Tamandua tetradactyla: one gene and its partner. The protein of the gene in region 2 purifies or fractionates together with the protein of the main gene of each other region. This does not show direct contact. Links are inferred from orthologs where the notes say so. Each region holds a gene or a part of one and is shown on either strand. Other genes may lie near its edges. The genes, in order: CUL4B and PHIP.

Region 1 (9,752 bases), on a different chromosome or scaffold from region 2:
GAACTAGGAGAAGCACTGCCTTGGGGATGGGTGAAGGGAAAGTTACCAAAAAGGGAGGAAGATTTCTTAATACAACTGGCTGACCTCACACTATTGCCTAGGGTCAATACTGCTTGGTGAAGATTGCATATTTAAAATTTTGTCAAATTTGACAGTTTAGCCCAGCTGCTAAAATCATGTTAAAAGAAAATTTAAATATTTTTATAAGTAAAGAGCAGATATTTGGGAATGTAAGTTTGGAGCGATCCATAAATGCCCAACTTCTGAATTATCATTAACCATATGGATGTTTCTATCGCCAAGTCATCTATTTTTCCTGAGTCTATTAAATGTCCTTTCTTCCCACCAATAGCATTATTTCTTTGGCCAATTCATTTGGTCATTGAACAAAAATGTATTGAACAACTACTCTGGGCATAACACCAGTCTAGATGCTGTGAGGAAATATAGAACTAATACAATGAACAAACTTTCCATATATGGTTGTTTTTATAATTTTAAAGTACTTTCACACAAATAATCCTATTCCATCTTCAAACCGAGGTGAGTCAGATACCATTCCTAATTTACAGATGAGAAACAGGCTCAGGGAAGGAAGTTAAAATGACTTGCCAAAGTCACAAAGCACAGACTTAACCCTAGTTCTTTTCTAGTTCCAAATACAGTATTTCCCACAGTTTACAGTTTAGTCAGGAGACATTGTCATAAAATAGTCTCAAGTAGAAGGCAAGTTAGGAAAAGACGTACTGAGGCCCACTCACCAGTGAAAAAAAAAAAAGAGGAATACTAAAATAACTCCTTTATTGCACTGAGCCAAATCACAGTGCTTAAAGGAGACCAAGCTTGGATGCAATTCAGGCCATCATCAAGTAGGTAGGACACAGTAGCAAGCAATACACATTCAAGGAGACAGTGCCAATTTGGTTCTAGGAAATCAGTCCATTCCAGGGCTGGACCCTCAGTCAATGGCTCATCTTCACAGGAGGTACAAACCAGCTCCTTCTTCTGGTCACAGCCAGACAAACACTGAGCAGATCTTGCTGGAGAACCCTTATGATCCTATCACTGAATATACAAAGACAACCCTTGCCCGAAAACAGTTCTCAATTGGCCTAGTAGGTGAGGCAGACAAATGCAGGATGGAGCTGACAACCACTGCTATGAGAACAAAGAGGAGGGAAACCTGGGAATCCTAGGAAGGTGGAATGGAGTGGAGGAAATGTGAGGGTGGGGAGTTAAGAATAACTTCCAGAGAAAGTAATTCAATCTAAATCCCAAGGAGGAGTGGCAATTAGGCAGACAAGGGAGGGAGCTGGGGGCACAAGGAGGGAAGACAGCCTGTTAAAGTCCTGAGGTGAGAGAATAAGCAGGCATTTACAAGGAGACAAGTTATCCGTGCTTGGCTACATTCCTAATCAGAAACTAGAGAGCTAAACAGAGATGTCAAGGAAGCATCGCAGTCTCAAGTCTGGCATAGCAATTCCTAGGCCTACTGTTGGAGCTGTGGCTTCTGAATAATAGTTCTTATCTTGAGCCAGACTGATTCAGGAAATGGATCTACAAGTTGGACTCATCTTTGGATATAAGAGCTGTGGGGCTAAAGCATGGGAAGTAAGACACAAGCTAACAAGATAAAACAGAGCAGTGGCTGGCAAACTATTACCAGTTTTAGAGCAGAAGCTGGCAAACCTGTTTACCAAATCTGACCCATTGCCTGTTTTTGTAAATGAAGGGTTATTAGAACATAGCTATGCCCATTCATTTACATATTTCCTAAGCTGCTTTTTTCTTAAAACAACAGAGTTCAGTAGTTGTGACAGAGACCATATGGCCCACAAAGCATAAAATATTTCCTATCTAATTTATTACAGAAAAAAATTGCTGATACTTGCACCATAATATATGGAGTGATAAAAACAGGAATATGGAGAATGTTTAGTGGTGACTTTTAATTTTGCTTCCTGCTCTATAACAAGAATTTAAAACTTTAAGTAAATTTACCCAAATGTAATCTACAGCTTACAAATGGTAATGAAATAAAAGAATACAAAAAGATTTAAATTAGCTTTCCTGTGGAGGAAAAAAAAAATCTCTAGAGCACACAGGAGGGTACCTAGAAAGAGGACTTATACAGACTCATCTGTAACCCAGATACAGCATTTCTCTGCTTCTCTATCAGGTTTTCATCAAGTAGAAGAAGGAAGGGAGAGAGGTACTAGGCTAGAGTCCCAGACCCCTGGAAACCTCTGTCTCTTTTTATTTTTTAGCTTTGGTATTTTTAAGCATAAATGATATCATACCATACATATATATCTACAATTTGCCTTTTTCACTTAATGTATATTGGAGATCTTTACATGACGGTACCTAGAAATTTACCTCATTCTTTTTTACAATTTGCATACTAATTCATAGTAAATAAATACAACATGTCATTTAACTAGTCTCCTATTTTTGGACATTTGGTTATTTCCCTTTTTGCTACTACCAGCATGCTGCAATAAACATGCTATAACATATATCTTTGTGCATGTGTGAAAGTATTACCAAGGATTTTTTTGAAGAAATGGAATCGGGTCAACTTCAGAATGACTGTTGACTGTCCCGCATCTTTAGCACCACTAATATTATCAAACTTTTATATTATAACACTAATATTAGCAAAATTTTATACTATTATCAATATCATCAAACTAAGTATTATGAAACTTTAAAAGTTTTGCCAAAATAGTATATGAATTCATTCTCACTGTAAAACAACAACTATAAAGCAAAAGCAGAAGTGCCCTTCTTGACCACCATCCCGTAATCCCTACTCTGTCTGGGGGAATTTATTTCCACCTTGTTATTAAATTCTTATTGTTTTATGCCTTGATCTTCATAGGAATAATTTCTTAATAATTTCTTCAAGATTCCTGGACATACTGTTAACAATTATTTAGACTTAACTCTAGGTTTTACTTAGTTGATTTACTCACCATTGTCTTCTGGGATCTCCCCATCATCACGCGTATTCCCTGATCCAGATGTCTGTGACATCCTGTCTTTTGGGCTGTATTAAAAAACAGAGAATTCACTTTTAAAGCAGTCTTCTCCCATATGGTGTTATGAGTTCACTGACTATGGTTTCTCAACCAGTTTTATCCTATTGGTTTCATATCTTCAAGATGATCCTCAACATTTTAGTCTGCTAATCACCCTTCTCTGTTACCACTTGTAGTTATGGCTCTATTCTTATATTTTTTTCTTTCATTTAAATATAATTTTAAGAGGAAAACACGTTTGTTCAGACTGACATCTCAAATTGAAAGTCAAACGTTTCCTTTTAAATCCCCAAACTACAATGACTTGAGCCCCGACCTCCACACCACCCCCGCTTGAATGCCAAAAATTAGACTTCCCTCAAAACTATTTCTAAGGGTTCTCCACATATGATCAGAACCAGATCGCTAATTTTCTTCCTCCTCAGGCTTCAGCGCTTTTGTCCCTGTTCTTGAGGGACCTCTTGTTATCACCACTTTGCCGGATAGTGCTTTCTCCACTAATGACAATGATTATACTGGGCTTTTTCCTAAATTCTCCACATCACAGATGAAGAAAGACTATATCTTTTAATGTATTTCTACTATACATTTGGGAATAACATAAGAAAATACAACATAGGGAATAACTTAAATACCTCAAGATATGGCTTCATTTAGAGTCGGTAGGCCCAAGTCCAGACCCACTTTCAGTTGGTTCTTAAACGGTACTCTAACCGCCTTTCACAATCTCAAAGGGGTGCTTAGCTCACCATCACATGAGGACCAACAGGGCATCTTTATTGTTGATCTATGAAAAGTCCGATCTCTAAAAACCTGACGGATCAGCCAGGACCGTTCACAAACAAGTACCCTTACAACTTGAGGTCGCCCTTCGACCTAAGCTCCGCCCACAGAGGCTCGATTTCCGGTTCACTTAATTGTTTTCTAAGATGATTGACAGTAGATCTGACCAATTATTTCAGGGGTAACCCCACTTGTCTAACAGGCACCTGTTGGTGCCAAATACAAAAAACCAAAACCTCAAAACGATCTGGTATGGGTACATTTCTAAGGTCTGGTTTATTCTATCTTTGATAATACCGCCTATGAGACATCTGCAGGCAAGCCAGGGTTGTTCTTGTGCCAAGACTAGCCTAGTTCCTTTTCACACTATGTTTTCTGCAGTCCTCTCTGTCTCATCGCCTCGTCTTATGCTACCAATTGCCGGAACAATAACATACTTAACTTCATTCGACAAACAGTGATATACAGGCATGGATCTGTCTAAACAGGTATGGGGAAAATGATAACCATTTCTCCCCAAAGATCAACAAAGTCTTCAGAGACATAGTTTATCATCTGACCACAAATTCTAGTCCAAAATATTTACAGTCGTTGCTTCATTCAACTGGGTTGGATCTGATGATGTCTGTTGAATTTACATTATGAAATGGCATGTAGAGAACTCGTTTTTCTCCAGAACAAAGAGATAGTTTGCTCCAAATTTAAGTTGCAATCTCACTTAGGAGGCATTAACATTTTTTAAAAATGTATTTATCCCAGCATAGAAGTGTGATATACAAATAATCATATCAAGAGCAATGACACTCATAAAAATCAATCAAGGTGCTAGCCATCTTTTTGTAAATATCTCAGTAGACAAAAAATAACAACACTTTGCGATTAACAAGGTTATAGATGCCCCTGATCCATTTGTAAAGAGGCAAATTCAATTTTTCATTGTGACTTTATGACTTCAAGTTAATAGAGTTTTATGAATGGGCTTTTATTGACTTGCAACTTTTAATTTTTATTTAAATTTAAAAATTTACTTATCCTTCTTATTTTGCGATAATTGTAGATCCAGACGCAGTTGTAAGAAATAATACAAGGAGCTGTCTTGTACCGTCTAGCCAGTTTCCCACAATGGTGACATCTTGCAAAACTGTAGTACAATATCACAATCAGGATATTGGCATTGCTACTATTAAGATACAGGACAGTTCCATCAATGCAAGGATCCTTCTTAATTAATGTCCCTTTTTATTTTTGCTTATGTTGTTTAATTTTATATAGTATTTGCTTTCCATAAAGTTTGCTTTGGAGGTATGTTCTCTCTGCTTACAATAATAGATCCTATAAAAATAGGCATACAGTATTTTTTTCATGAAGAGCATTGCCCACTATAATGCTTGGTATGAGGGTCCATGGAGGAGCTTCTCCCAGACTGTTTTGTATACAATCATATTTATTTCATATAAAATTTACTACTTGTAATTTATTGTTTCCTTTGTTGCTTTGGCCACTAGAAAACTCTGAATCATATATGCATTTCTACTTCAGTACTGCATATGTTATTTTATTATTTAATATTTTTAATTAGAGAAGTTGTAGGTTTACAGAAAAATCATGTAAAAATACAGCATCCCTATGTACACCCCCCATTATTAACACTTTGCATTAGTTTGGTATCTTTGTTACAACTGGTGAAAGAATATTATAACTGTATTATTAATTATAGTCCATCATTTATATTAGGTGTATTTTTCCTCTTATACCACCCTATCAGTAACACCTTGCATTAGTGTGGCATATTTGTCATAATTTATAAAAGAATATCTTTATAATTGTACTATTAACTATAGTCCATAGTTTTCAGTAGGGTTGTACAGTCCTATGTTTTATCTTTTAATTTTTATTCTAGTAACATATATATGACCTAAAATTTCCCCTTTTAACCACATTCATATATATAATTCAGTGCTGTTAATGTTGTGCTACCATTACCACCCTCCATTTCTAAAACTTTACTATCAACACAAATATAAATTCTGTACAAATACATATTATAGCCACTCCCACATTCCTTCTCTCCCCTCCCTCTTGAACCCCTAGTAACTCCATTCTGTTCTTCATTTTTATAATTTTGTTGTTTCAAGAATGTTATTTAAATCTGTAAACTTTTAAACTTTTATAGTCCCACCATCAGTGTATGAGTTGATGCAATTTTTCTGCACCCTATTTAGTATTTGGTGTTTGAGTCACAATTTTTGCATTTTAGCCATTTTGATAGGCGTGTAGTACCAAATTTTTGACATTTTCAGTCAAATTCACATATCCTTTTCAATCTGCCCTCCCTTTTCTGAGCTCCTATGACATAAACATCAGATCTTAGGGAATTAAGGGGCTTGTCTCTTGGAGCAGTGAAAGGTGGGGAGGAAATGCTGCTGTCATAAGAGCCTGCTTTAGGCCTCTGAGTTTAAACATGACCTCTCAACCCTGTGCATGGAATTTTTAGAAGACCCGATAGGACCAAGGCCTTGTCTCTGGGCATTGTAATTGGCATCAACAGAGACCCTATTGTTCACTATGTATGGTTCTGCAGAATGTGCCCTGCACCAGCGTGTTTGACTGAACAGGTAGGAGTGGGGAAATGAAATCCAGCTAGTTAACCTAGCCTTGTGTCCTAAAGCAAGAGAAAGACAAGCTTTTGTAACTGGTCTGTCCAAAGGGGTGACTTTTTTTTTTAACTAACCGTACCCAAGAGGACACTCTTTCTTTTGCAATTTTTCTGCTTCAAGTATCATGCCTTTTTCTAATTTGCTCTTGAGGGGCCCTGTGTACACATTGCAACCCTAAAAACAATAAGAACAATTGAAAAAATTAAATATGCAAATCTGGGTTTTGTAAAAGACCACTTTGATTGTAAAAAGCAGCAGATTAGTGGCAAAAGTCAAAGTAGGGAGCTCAATTAGAAGGCAATTACTATACTCCTGGTGTAAATGCAGATATCTTAGAGATGGTGGGACTGGCAGAGATCAAGAGAGTAGAAGCAAGTTTGAGGAGATTTTGGTAGGTAAAATTGATAGGGTTTCAGGATGGGTTGGACATAGACATGAGGGAGAGGACGTAGTAAGGATGATTCCATGATTTCTGGCTTGTACAAGTGGATAGATGATAGTGATATTCACTGACATAGAGAATCCTGGGAGAGGATCAAGTTTTTGCTTCAGTTTTAGGGGGTTGGGAAGGAAGAAAGAGTTTGGTTTTGGAAATGTTGAATTTGAGGTGCTTTTGAAACATCCAAGAGGCATAGTAGGTGTATTAGACAGGGTTCTCTAGAGAAACAGAATCAACAGAAGATAACCTGAAAATATGAGATATTTATAGAAATTGTTTCATGTGATTGTTGGAATTTGCACGTCCAAATTCCATAAGTCAGGCTGCAAGCTGGGAACTGTGTTGAAGGTTTTTGATGAATTCCCCAAGAGAAGCTGGCCAGCTGCCAAAGACATGGAAATTCTCCGTCCTGACTGCTGAAATCATCACTTCTTTTAAAGCCTTCAACTGATAGGATGAGACTTCTCTCATTGCTGAAGGCACTCTTTTTGGTTGATTGTAGATGTAATCAGACATAGATGTAATCAACTTACTGATGACTTAAGTCCACAAAATGTCCTCACAGGCCAGTGCTTGCTTGACCAAACAACTGGACACCATCAACTGGCCAAGTTGACACATGAACCGGCAGCCATACAGATCAACATAAATCAGACTTAATCACTAAATAACAATTAATATCAGTCATATTTTTGCCTAACAATGCTCACTTGTCCTGCATACAACTGGAAACACACTAACTCTCTCCAGAATATGGTGGAAGCCCTTGGGTATATTCATGTAAATATAACAACATGAAACTAATACAACTTTTGTTGTGTGATAAGGGGATAAGATAGGGAAGACAACAATTATATTTACTTTATGTTCATGTGGAAATATAACAAGACAAGGAAGAAATATTCATAACTGTGATATTCCTCATTTCTGTAACTGGTCATGTGGTCATAGTCTGTATTTATCACTAGCTTCTTCTACTACCATTTCCAAATAACCCTTACCCTGAGGGAAGCATCTCAGCTGGTTCTGACTCATTGCTTGGTGGGATGAGCAAAGTGTTATTCCTGAAGTTTCTGGGCCATTGGTATTCCTAACTGGTGCTGTAAATGAGTCTTCAAAAGGCCATTCCATGATTCTATCAATCCAGCTGCCTTAACATGAAGGGTTACATGGTAAGACCAGTGAACTCCATGAGCATGGGCCCATTTCTTCACTTCATTTGCTGTGTATATGTTCCTTTATCAGAAGCAATGCTGTATAGAATACCATGATGGAGGATAAGGCATTCTATAAGTCCATGAACGGTAGTTTTGCCAGAAGCATTGTATGCAGGGAAGGCAAATGCCTATCCAGAGTATGTGTCTATTCCAGGTACCACACGCTACCTCTTCCATGATGGAAGTGGTCCAATGTAATCAACCTGCTATCAGGCAGATCACCTTGGGAATGGGCCAAATTGAGGACAGAGTGTTGGTCTCTGCTGCTAAGAGATCGGACATGCAGCAGTGGCCATAGCCAGGTCAGCCTTGGTGAGTGAAAATCCATGTTGCTGAGCCCATCCATAACCTCATCCCTACCACCATACTATGAGCCCATTGGGCAATGACAGCAGTAGCTGTGGAAAGAGGCCAATTGGTTTCCACAGAATGGATCATCTTATCCATTTGATTATTAAAGTCTTCCTTTGCTGAATGAACTCACACTCTGGTGAGCATTCATGTGGGATACAAATATCTTCATGTTTTTTGCCCACTCAGAAAGGTCTATTTACATACCTCTTCCCCAGACCTCTTTGTCATCAATTTTCCAGTCATGTTCTTTTAAGTCCCTGACCATCCAGCCAAACCGTTAGCGACAGCCCATGAATCATATACAAATGCCCCTCCAGCCATTTCCCCTTCCAAGCAAAATGAACAACCAAGTGCACTGCTTGAAGTTCCACCCACTAGGAGGATATCCCCTCACCACTGTCCTTCAGGGATAACAAGAAAAGGGCTGCAGTGCTGCAGCTGTGCACTTTCATGTGGTACCCACATATTGTGCAGAACCTCCTGTAAACCAGGCCAGAGTTTTCTCTTCCTCAGTCAGCTCACTGTAAGGAACTCCCCAAGAGGCCATAGCTGTGGCTGGAAAGAGAAGGTAATGTGGCAGGAGTGGGGGCCATAGGCTTTTGGGCCTTTCATTATGTGACTTACTTGAGTCTTCAGGACCTGCTCTGGCCCTATCTCACATATACCACTTCCATTTTATGATGGAGTACAGTTGTACATGCCTAACTTTATGGCTTGGTGGGTGAGACAACAGTCAGCTCATAATAGACAACTCAGGTCTCAGGGTAACTAAGCGTTCAGTCTCTACTAAGGCCCCGTAGCAGGCTGAAAGCTGTTGGTCAAAAGGAGAGTAGTTATCTGCAGAAGATGGCAAGACTTTGCTCCAAAATCCTAAGGGCCTGCATTGTTTTTATCCTATAGGAGCCTGCCAAAGGCTCCAGACAGCATCTCTATTTGTCACTGACACTTCTAGAACCACTGAATCTGCTGGATCATATGGCCCAAGTGGCACAGAAGCTTTCACAGCAACCTGAACCTGTTTCAGAGCCTCTTTTTGTTCTGGTCCACACTCAAAACGAGCTTTTTGGGTTACTTAGTGAATGGGCCAGAGTAACATACCCCAATGAGGAATATGTTGTCTCCAAATTCTTAATGTGCCAACTAAGCATTGTGCCTGTTTTTGGTTGTACAAGGGACCAGATGCAACAGCTTATCCTTCACCTTAGAAGGGATATCTTGACATGCCGCACACTACTGGACACCTAGAAATTTCATTGAG
Region 2 (8,862 bases):
TGTTCTTATTCTAAAGTTTGCCTAAGAATTCTGATAAAGGCTTGGGAACTGCCCTTTTGCTTTAAAATCAACATATTCTAAAAAAATGAAATCAGAAACCTATGCCATTCATTAAGCCAAAGAAAAATACGACCTTCTATCAAATTCACTGCTAAAAACGTTTTAAATCTTGTTAGCTGGTAACTGTCAGTAATGTTTTACCAAAGGAAGAAATAACCCTCACATTATGTGTTTCCTTTCTCAATCACACTTGAAATAAATGCGTCAATGTTATTTTTAAATCTGTAAACTTTTAAAACTGCTCTCAAGACTCCATTTTCCTCTTCATCAAAATTCATTATGAACGTCTGTCAGTGGACTGCACATGCTGATCCATGCCTATTTTTTTTAAACTCACAAATACCACACACCATCCTAAATGGCTATAATTTGGGTTTTTCAAGGGATTTCAATCTGACATATAAACACTCTCATTTGAAAATACTGCTCAGTTTATCTATTAACTTAGCAACAAATCATTTACAGGTAGAAGTAGACACTACTGAAACCAAAAACAATTGCACTCACCAAAATAATCTTCAAACCAACGTTAAATTCAATAGGCAACAAAATAAAAACTTTTCTGAGTTCTAAAAATAAATTAAGACAACAGAGAATATAAGACCCTTCACATATATTCACCTGGACATAACATTTCAAGATCTACTACTAAATAATAAAATGTGCTCAGAAACCTTGCGCTCCAAAACATTTTTACAGCCAATTAAATCTCAATAAAACAATTAAATAGCATTAAACCAAGCCACACATTAAATACATATTTTGATGCATTTGAAAGCACCTCAAATGGCACCTGGCATACAGTAGAAACAGATTGAACAAACATGCTAAATGAATAGAAAATGAGTCAAAGAACTGTGAATTCTAATGAAAATTCTTAACTGTCTCATGAGTATGCCAACAAGAGATGAAAACATTCCAAACAAGAAAAACCACTTCCATCCAAAATAGGTGGATTTTGATAAACAACACAACTGATTAAGACACTGGTTACTGTATCTTAAGTCTGATAGACTATAAATTCATTTCATTCATATTTGAGATGAGAAACTTCTCTAAAAAGTTCAATAAAAGTCAAAATTGGCACTCTTTACTGGGAAAAAATGATACCCTACAAGGATCAGTCAGTCCCATAATTTGGCATATTTAAAATATGCAAATATACTTTAATATTGCTATTTATTATATTAATTATAAAGAACCTCAAGTAAGAGAACACAGCAATTTTCGGTAACTTAGGGTTTGTTTTTTAAGGGATGCAAAGATAACTTCTGCAAAATATACCTGTCCTAAAAATGGATTAAAATTATTTAAATGTTTTCAAATACCTAGGAAATCTTGGAAATCCACTGAAGACTATCAAATATTTACAAACCTACACATTAATTTCTAATGTTGCACTTATAGTCTTGCAGTTTACTTCAAACTTCACCTTGGCCAAGTACTGAATGAAACTAGCCTAAACCACTGCTTGAAAACTAACAAAGTGTAGAAATATACCGAAAATCTCCACTACATTCATTAAACCTAAGTTATCTTTGGTTCATCAACAACTTATATTAAAGCACAAGAGATTTATACACGTGCACTATATACAAAATGAAACAAAAGCCACCAAAATCATGCTATACCTTATGGAAGACATTCACTCTCAGCTGGCTGAAACTTGTAAAAGTGATATCAGTAATTCTATCTCAAAACTATCTGCAAATATGTTACAGAACGTCAGTGGACTTCATACATTTCAAAGGCTTGGTATGCCCTGATGGGATTGCTTTAACTGCCCAACACACATGTTCGTACAGTTAAATAGCAAACTTTATGTAAAATCTAGCTCCGGGATAACATTATCTTACATTTCAATTTACGATCCTTAAGCGATAGGTCCACTTTTTAAAGTCCATTTTTAGAAATTCCTACTTACTTCGAAAACCAACAAAATTAAGAAACAAGCCTTTTTCAAGCTATCAAATAATATATACTATCCAATACAAACAGAAAAACTTTTACTTGCCAATTTTTCATCCCACAACAAATATGAAAGGATAAAATCAACTCTTCGGTGGCCTCCAATAATTTCTATTTGGACAAGGGGTTTAGCACGAAAATTAGCATTTTCAAAAGCCTCTTAAACCTCTGGTTTTAGGGTGTTACTCAGGTTTTACACTTCTGTAAATTCGTCTTAGTACATGCAAAATGTGCCCTAGCCAACTATCATCACTAAATTCCTTAAACAACAAAAAACGTGGTCTGAATTTAAGGAAAGAAAAATAAACGGGAGAGGAAAAAATAAGAATAACGACTTGCCCTGGTTCCGCAGTTGCTGAATAGCCTGCTTGTGAAATGCTAATGCCACTTCGGAGCAGTTAGTCACCAGCTATTGTGTGGGGAAGGAGAAAGCCGAGCCGGCCGCGCGTGCAGAGCGAACGAACGAGCGCGCCCTCCCTCCTCCTCCTCCTCCTCCCGCCGCCGCCGCCGCCGCCGCCACCTCGCGCGCGCCCCCGCGCCCGCACGGACGCGCGCGCCGGCCCCTCCTCCTCCGGCCTTGCACTGCACAACACTCATGACGTATCTTTATTTCTAGCACATTAACAAAATATCACAAATAAATTGTCGGCAGCCCCTACGGCCCCGGGGTGCGAGTCCCTCAGGCCACTGCTCCCCGCAGCCCCTGCGCCGGCCTCCCAAACCTCCCCGTGGCCTTTGCAGCTTTCACGTTCTGGGGCCAAGTTTTTGTCTCTGTAAAAAATTGCGGGAAATTCAATTTTTATTCGACTCGGGGAAAAGTTTCTTTGCTCCGCGACGTGAATGTCTCACCAGGTTCTGGTAGGTCCTGGGATGCTCCTTCCCGGTCCAGTCGGTGCGCCGGGGCAGCAGCTGCGGGGAGAGCACGCCCCGTGAGCCCAGTCCCCGGCCCCGGCCCGCATGCTCCCCTCCCTCGCCCGTCCCGCGCCCCAGCGGGGACCCCAAACCCCGCGCCCCGCGCCCCGCCGGCGGCGGCAGCGGCGCAGCGGCCCAGAGACAGCCGCGCTGCGGCGGGATGCGGTGGGCCGCCGCCGCCCTTACCTCTTTCTCGGCCACCTCGCGGATCAGCACCTGCAACAACAAAGCGGGGAGAGTTGAGCCCCGCGCCCCGGGCCGCAGCCCCACTGCCGCCGCCCTCCCCCACGCCCGCGAGCGGCGAGCGCCGGCCCAGCCCGCGCCGCGCGCCGCCGTACCTGAGCCGCCTGCTGACAGGGTCCATCTTCCAGGAACCGGGCGATGAGGAAGTAGAGCTCTGCGCGGGAGAGAGGAACGGGGAGACACAGGGGCTGAGCAGCCGGACGGCGGGGGGGGCGGGGGACCGCGGGCGGAATCGCCTGGTGCCAGCGGCCCCGGCATCTCCTCGACTTACCCGATCGCAGCTCCGAGAGGCCTTTCCTCTCACAAGACATGTTTATGGGTCACTTCAGGGCCGCCGGCGGGGCACCCCGCCGCCGAGAGGAAGCGGGGATGGTGCCGCCGCCTGCCCTATAGCTGTCACTGTGTGTTCACGAGCCGAACCTCGGCTCCACCATTCAACCAACGGCGGCGGAGGAGGAGGAGGAGGAGGAGGAAACAACAACTCTCAGGCAGCGGCTACGGCCGCCGCCGCCTCCGCCGCGAATCCCTCCGCCGCAGAAAGGAGTCCACCGCCTTCGCGGCTTCGTGCTTGGCCGGGTCTGAGGCCTGTGCCCCCGCCCCCCCGGCGCAAAAAAGGAGTGCCTCCTGCCCCTCGCCCTCGACGCTCGGGCAACTGGATCGGCGCGACTCCCGCCCCTTCCTCCCCAGCCAAGGGTTCGATTTATTTATTTATTTCCAGTTGGAGAAGATGTCGGAGCCTCGGGTTGGCTGGAAGGCGCTTTCTCTGTGGAGGCCGACAGCGGGAGGGAGGGGGTTGGGACTGGCTCAGCGGAGGGATCTGACGCACACGGAGCCGCAGCACAGGCTCTATTCAGCGGCGCAGGCTAATGCTGAGATGGAAGTTAGTTTCTATGTAGCAGAAATAGGAAACAAATGAAGCAAAACTGCCCAAAGAGGGGAAATACCCCGAGGATGGGTCTCACTCTCACGCGCGCACACAGACACACGCAGAGAGCATTCTCACGCTGGGCAAACTCGGGATCGCGCTACCATCCCCGAGTTGAATGATAGTGTTTGGTTTCTGTCTCTTGCCATGTGCATGTGTATAAATGCTGCGGATTGGCATCTGTGTAAGTCTTACCCTGCGTTATTTCTGCAGCCTATGCAAGTGTTGTGTAATTTATTGGAGTGCTGTATATTGCAATAAAGGTTCGGGCGGTTTTTTTTGTTAAGCACTTGCATTTTGTAAGCCCGTTATTTGCTGAAGCTACCTCTGCATATTTTTTTATTACTGCTGTTTCCTTAATCGTACATTTTTTAAATGTTTTTTATTGATACTTGGGCAGAACGAACTCCTGGCTTGTACTTCATACTCTTTTTTTTCCTGATTACAAAAAAGGCCAGTAATGGCTAATTAGGGATCTGGGATTAAGGAACCTTAAAGCTCTTTTAAGTATTTACAAGATGGGATAGTGTAAATCTGAGGAAAAGCAAAGGACGCTAATATTTATCTCTAACTGATCTGGGGGTAATTTAATGACACATCGATAACCTACCAAAGGATATTGAAATACTACGTACAGTTTAGCCAAAGTGATTAGGATTAAATAATTTAAATTATCTGTGTATCTTGCAGTTGACTTCGTCATGCTAATTAATGGCTTCTAATTTGAGGTGTAAACCATTCTGTTTACATTTAATCACGGGAAGACTTCGTGAAAACTGAAGAAAAGAGAAAAAATAATCTTTTGTAAATTACTCTGTAATTACCGGTTTTATATGCTAAATCATACATCTGTGTTTTGCTGATGAGGATAAGGGCCTTGTTTTCTTAAAAACGAATATGGGTGAAATTAATGGAAACAATGGAAAAAGCCATTTGTTAGAAAACAAGGATACTAAATAATATTTATCTCGAAATGATTCAAGCACTTTCCAAAAAGACCTGAGAGTTCAGATGTTTTTGTTTTTGTTTTTAAATTGCATTTTCAAGTGAATTAGGTTAGTCCTTCTTTTGTTAATATTTGACAAAAGATTCTTCTTAAAACATAAGGATAATACACTGCACTTTATGGATCTGGTTTAAAAAGGTAATTTGTGTGGAAAAGACCCACAAGCTGTATTATGGTTTTCTAGGTTGTTTCCTCAAGCCTTGTACCTCCCAGCTCCTGACATTTCTAATGGGAAATACTTGGTGCAACTGGCTTGGGCTGCACTGCAAAACTGTAATGGTGTGGTGCCCTGTACTAAAGCATCCAGAAATCATAATACATTTGAGGAAGAAGGAAAAAAGCCTGACCCCTTTTAGAATAGTAGAATGTAAAAATTGTCTTTCGTAAGTCAATTTAATAAAATTAAAATGGAAGGTTACTATGACTTGACCATTCCTACCTAATTATCAAAATAACTGTTATTTATTGACATAGACTATGCTTCAAATACTGAAAATATTTGCATTTTTTAAGATATCAATTCCATTTTATTATAGGCAAGGTAGTCTGCTTCTAGATGGGTAGGTTTGAAAAGAAGGATGTTTTATTTGCCTTTTTAAAATTGTGTTTATTTCTACGGCAGATACTTTCCAGTTTACCGTAACTTTTTAAAAAGTATATCCTTCAAATAATTGTGATATTTTATGTTATCATGATGTTCTCTAAAATCAATAGATTTTAGGAACCAGAAATTATACTTGGAATTTTCTGCTCTTGAAATGGTTGAATTGGTCTGATTTTTACTAATAGATGTTTTATGCTTGAGAAGAAAAATAAATCAAATTATGATATGGAATATAAAATTACTCTGAGTAAAGTTTTCCAATGTATCTTATGGGTTTTGCAAACGTAGAAGACTAGCATGATGATCTCACGTATGTTTTTCATTTGGAAGCCACTAATCCATTTTCCTAAGTATGCTATTAGTACTTAGTTCCTAAATTTTTTTAAGGAAAATTTCCTAAATTTTCTGAATATGATGTTCCTCTCATTTTGACCAATATTGACAGTTTTTATAGTTTCTTTTTCAAATATCTAAATTAAAGCTATCTGTAACCCTGTCTTTGAAGTAATTAATAACTATCAATGTATTTTAGGAAAGTATAGATTACCTGCCAAAGATTAAAACATCTCTTACATTGTTTTTAATAATTGATGTTAAACTGAATTTTGCTGTCTTCAAATCTAACAGATATAACTATATAATCCATATAATTTTTAATTTCTTCAAGCCTAAAACACAGTTTTGAATTCTGACATCATCAGTTCGTTGCAGGGTTCATTAAGTCATTTATTGTGCATATGTATGAAGAAAGTGTATATGTATCAAATAGAAAGAAAATCTTATTTAGAAGTTCTATATTTTAGTTCCCATAGCAATGACACTTGCAATTCTTTTCTCAGCTAACTCTTTTGCATAAAAGGATAGTTCAAATTCTATCTATATCCCTTTCTGTTTGTGTATTTCAGGGAATTATTAACTTTTTCTTGACTTCAAAAATAAAATGTTAATTTAAAAAGATCTTCAAATTTTTCAAATAAAGAGCTCTAACAAAACATATTAAAAGTTTGGAAAGACAACAACTTATGGGAAGTTGTTGTTTTATATAATATGGTCTCTGGGAGAATTATAAACTTTCCTTGCAATTTAAAAGTTCCTGTAAAATTCACTTCTTTTTACTTGGCATCACATGAAACAAGAAAAACATTTAACAAAAACTTTTTGAATCTTAATCTTGATAAGCTCTTTTTCAAATAAAATAATCAAGTACTGCCATACAAGTCCTTTGTGGAACAAGGTGGAATACTGTATATAAATAAAAAGATTCTACCACACTTACGAAATTTGGTTTGCTCTGGTGTGGTGAATAATACATAACTCAAAAAAAATCTTTACAAATACCACTTTTGAATTATATGTTAAATCTTGTCTGTGTTTTGAAGTTATGCTTTTTTATAGGAAAACTTTATGAAATATGAAAAAGAAAAGTGGAAAACACTGTTCTTCAAAAAATACCATTTATACTCATCTACCCCACCAACAGAATACAGCTATAAAATGGGTCTTAGTACACCGCAAAGACTCCTTCTGACTCCCTCCCCAAAATTGTATCTTTTTGTTTATGTCTGTCTGACCTCATCGCTCTCAAAAATGTACATCCTTCCTTCTTCACAAAGCTTGAATATATATCAAATTTGAGGTGCATGAACACTATTTAACGGTTGCTAGAGAAAGAACAGGGATGACCAATTTTACTAAGCCATCCATTATTTAACTCTATTTATTGTCTTCCTTATATCTCACTGAAAAACCTTTTTACTTAAATTAAAGCATATTTCCTTGTAATCTGTAACAAAGGAAACTAGCTGGTCACCAACAATCATACGTCAATATTTAAATATTAGCAATTCACCACTCAGCTTTTTTTCTCCAAGTTAAATAACCCTAGTAGTTTAGATCTTAAATATATATAAAATTTGCGCAAGAAATACTCATCTTCATGGGTTTATTTATAGGTTTGTTTTTTTTAAAAATCCCTTCATGAGCTTAAAAGTACAATTACAAAGATTGAAAGGGAAAAGCCATTTCAGAACATATTCCCTTAAGATTTGGAGAGAGAGATAGTGCATGAAGTAGAAAAAGCTGTTCCAGATGGCAGAAGGAGAAGACTGTATGTAGTAGGCATATTCTATCATAGGAATGTGTTTTAGGAGTGGGTTGGGCTGAAGAGAGCAGTGGAAGAAGACAAGGTAGTCTCAGGGGTATAAAGGTGTGGAAGCTCTTTAAAGTTGCTGCTGGTGGTGTTTTAAATTAAATCTAATATTATCAATGTGATTTTTAGATAGAACTTGAGGATAGGAGTTATGTGGTCACTAGCATTTACATGTGCCTGAATTAATAAATTTCAAGAACCCCAAAGGAAAAATTATTTTAATTGTGGGCAGGGAAATGGGAGGTGTACCTGACAAGTTAGTGAGGAATCTTTGCAGAATAAAAACATTCAGATTCAAGGTAGACACTGTTGGTGAAGAAGGAAAACGGCTGTTTAAAAGAATAAGATCTGTCATCACAGTCCTGACAAGTGATGTGGGAGAATAAGGTCCAACTCAAAATTGAGAATTAAGCCAATTTAGATTTAAACTGACTTTGTCAAAAGTGGTCCTCCCATTTTCTAAATTCCCATAGGAAGGTCTGTCTAATTATACAACTTTGCAAATTGCCTTTGTTTTTCTTCTCTTATATGTATACTAGACAAAGATCCCTTATCCCTCTGTTGCTTTGTTCCCTTTGATGAGTATGCTCATGCATATTTGTTGAATTGATGATGAACTAGCTGGCCTGAACAAAGAATGAGTTCTATTATACAGTTCTAAAATTTAAGTTAGTGATATGACTTTCAACTGAGATTGTTCAAAATTTAAGAAAAATTTACACATTGATTTTGAGAGTACACCTACAAATCCTGTTGCACTCATAATTTTCAGTCTTACATTAAAGTGCATAGAAGTATACATGTAGATGGAATGTTATAATGGGTTTTGTGATGCTCATAGCATTACTATTTCCCTGTGACAGTTATCAGAAGTGACATCACTGGGCATTATTAGGGAACATCTTAAGAATATTGAGTTAGTGGTATCATAAGAAGGAAGAAATACGTTGCCTTTTTGTCCTACCATCCTTACATCTCTGGTTTGCATATGTTAC

Evidence for each region.
Region 1: the proteins of PHIP (region 2) and CUL4B purify together in Homo sapiens (affinity purification with western blotting; 8 studies listed by BioGRID and IntAct, with this or other methods). This does not show direct contact. The link is inferred for Tamandua tetradactyla from reciprocal best matches to the Homo sapiens genes PHIP and CUL4B.

Annotation. Positions count from the first base shown.
Region 1 is NC_135353.1:46,083,126-46,092,877, reverse strand, and holds the start of CUL4B (cullin-4B), read right to left. Parts: upstream 3,934-9,752; 5' UTR 3,680-3,933; intron 3,053-3,679; 5' UTR 3,040-3,052; coding exon 2,979-3,039; intron 1-2,978.
Region 2 is NC_135331.1:135,416,574-135,425,435, forward strand, and holds the start of PHIP (PH-interacting protein), read right to left. Parts: upstream 3,730-8,862; 5' UTR 3,495-3,729; coding exon 3,455-3,494; intron 3,338-3,454; coding exon 3,279-3,337; intron 3,157-3,278; coding exon 3,127-3,156; intron 2,938-3,126; coding exon 2,878-2,937; intron 1-2,877.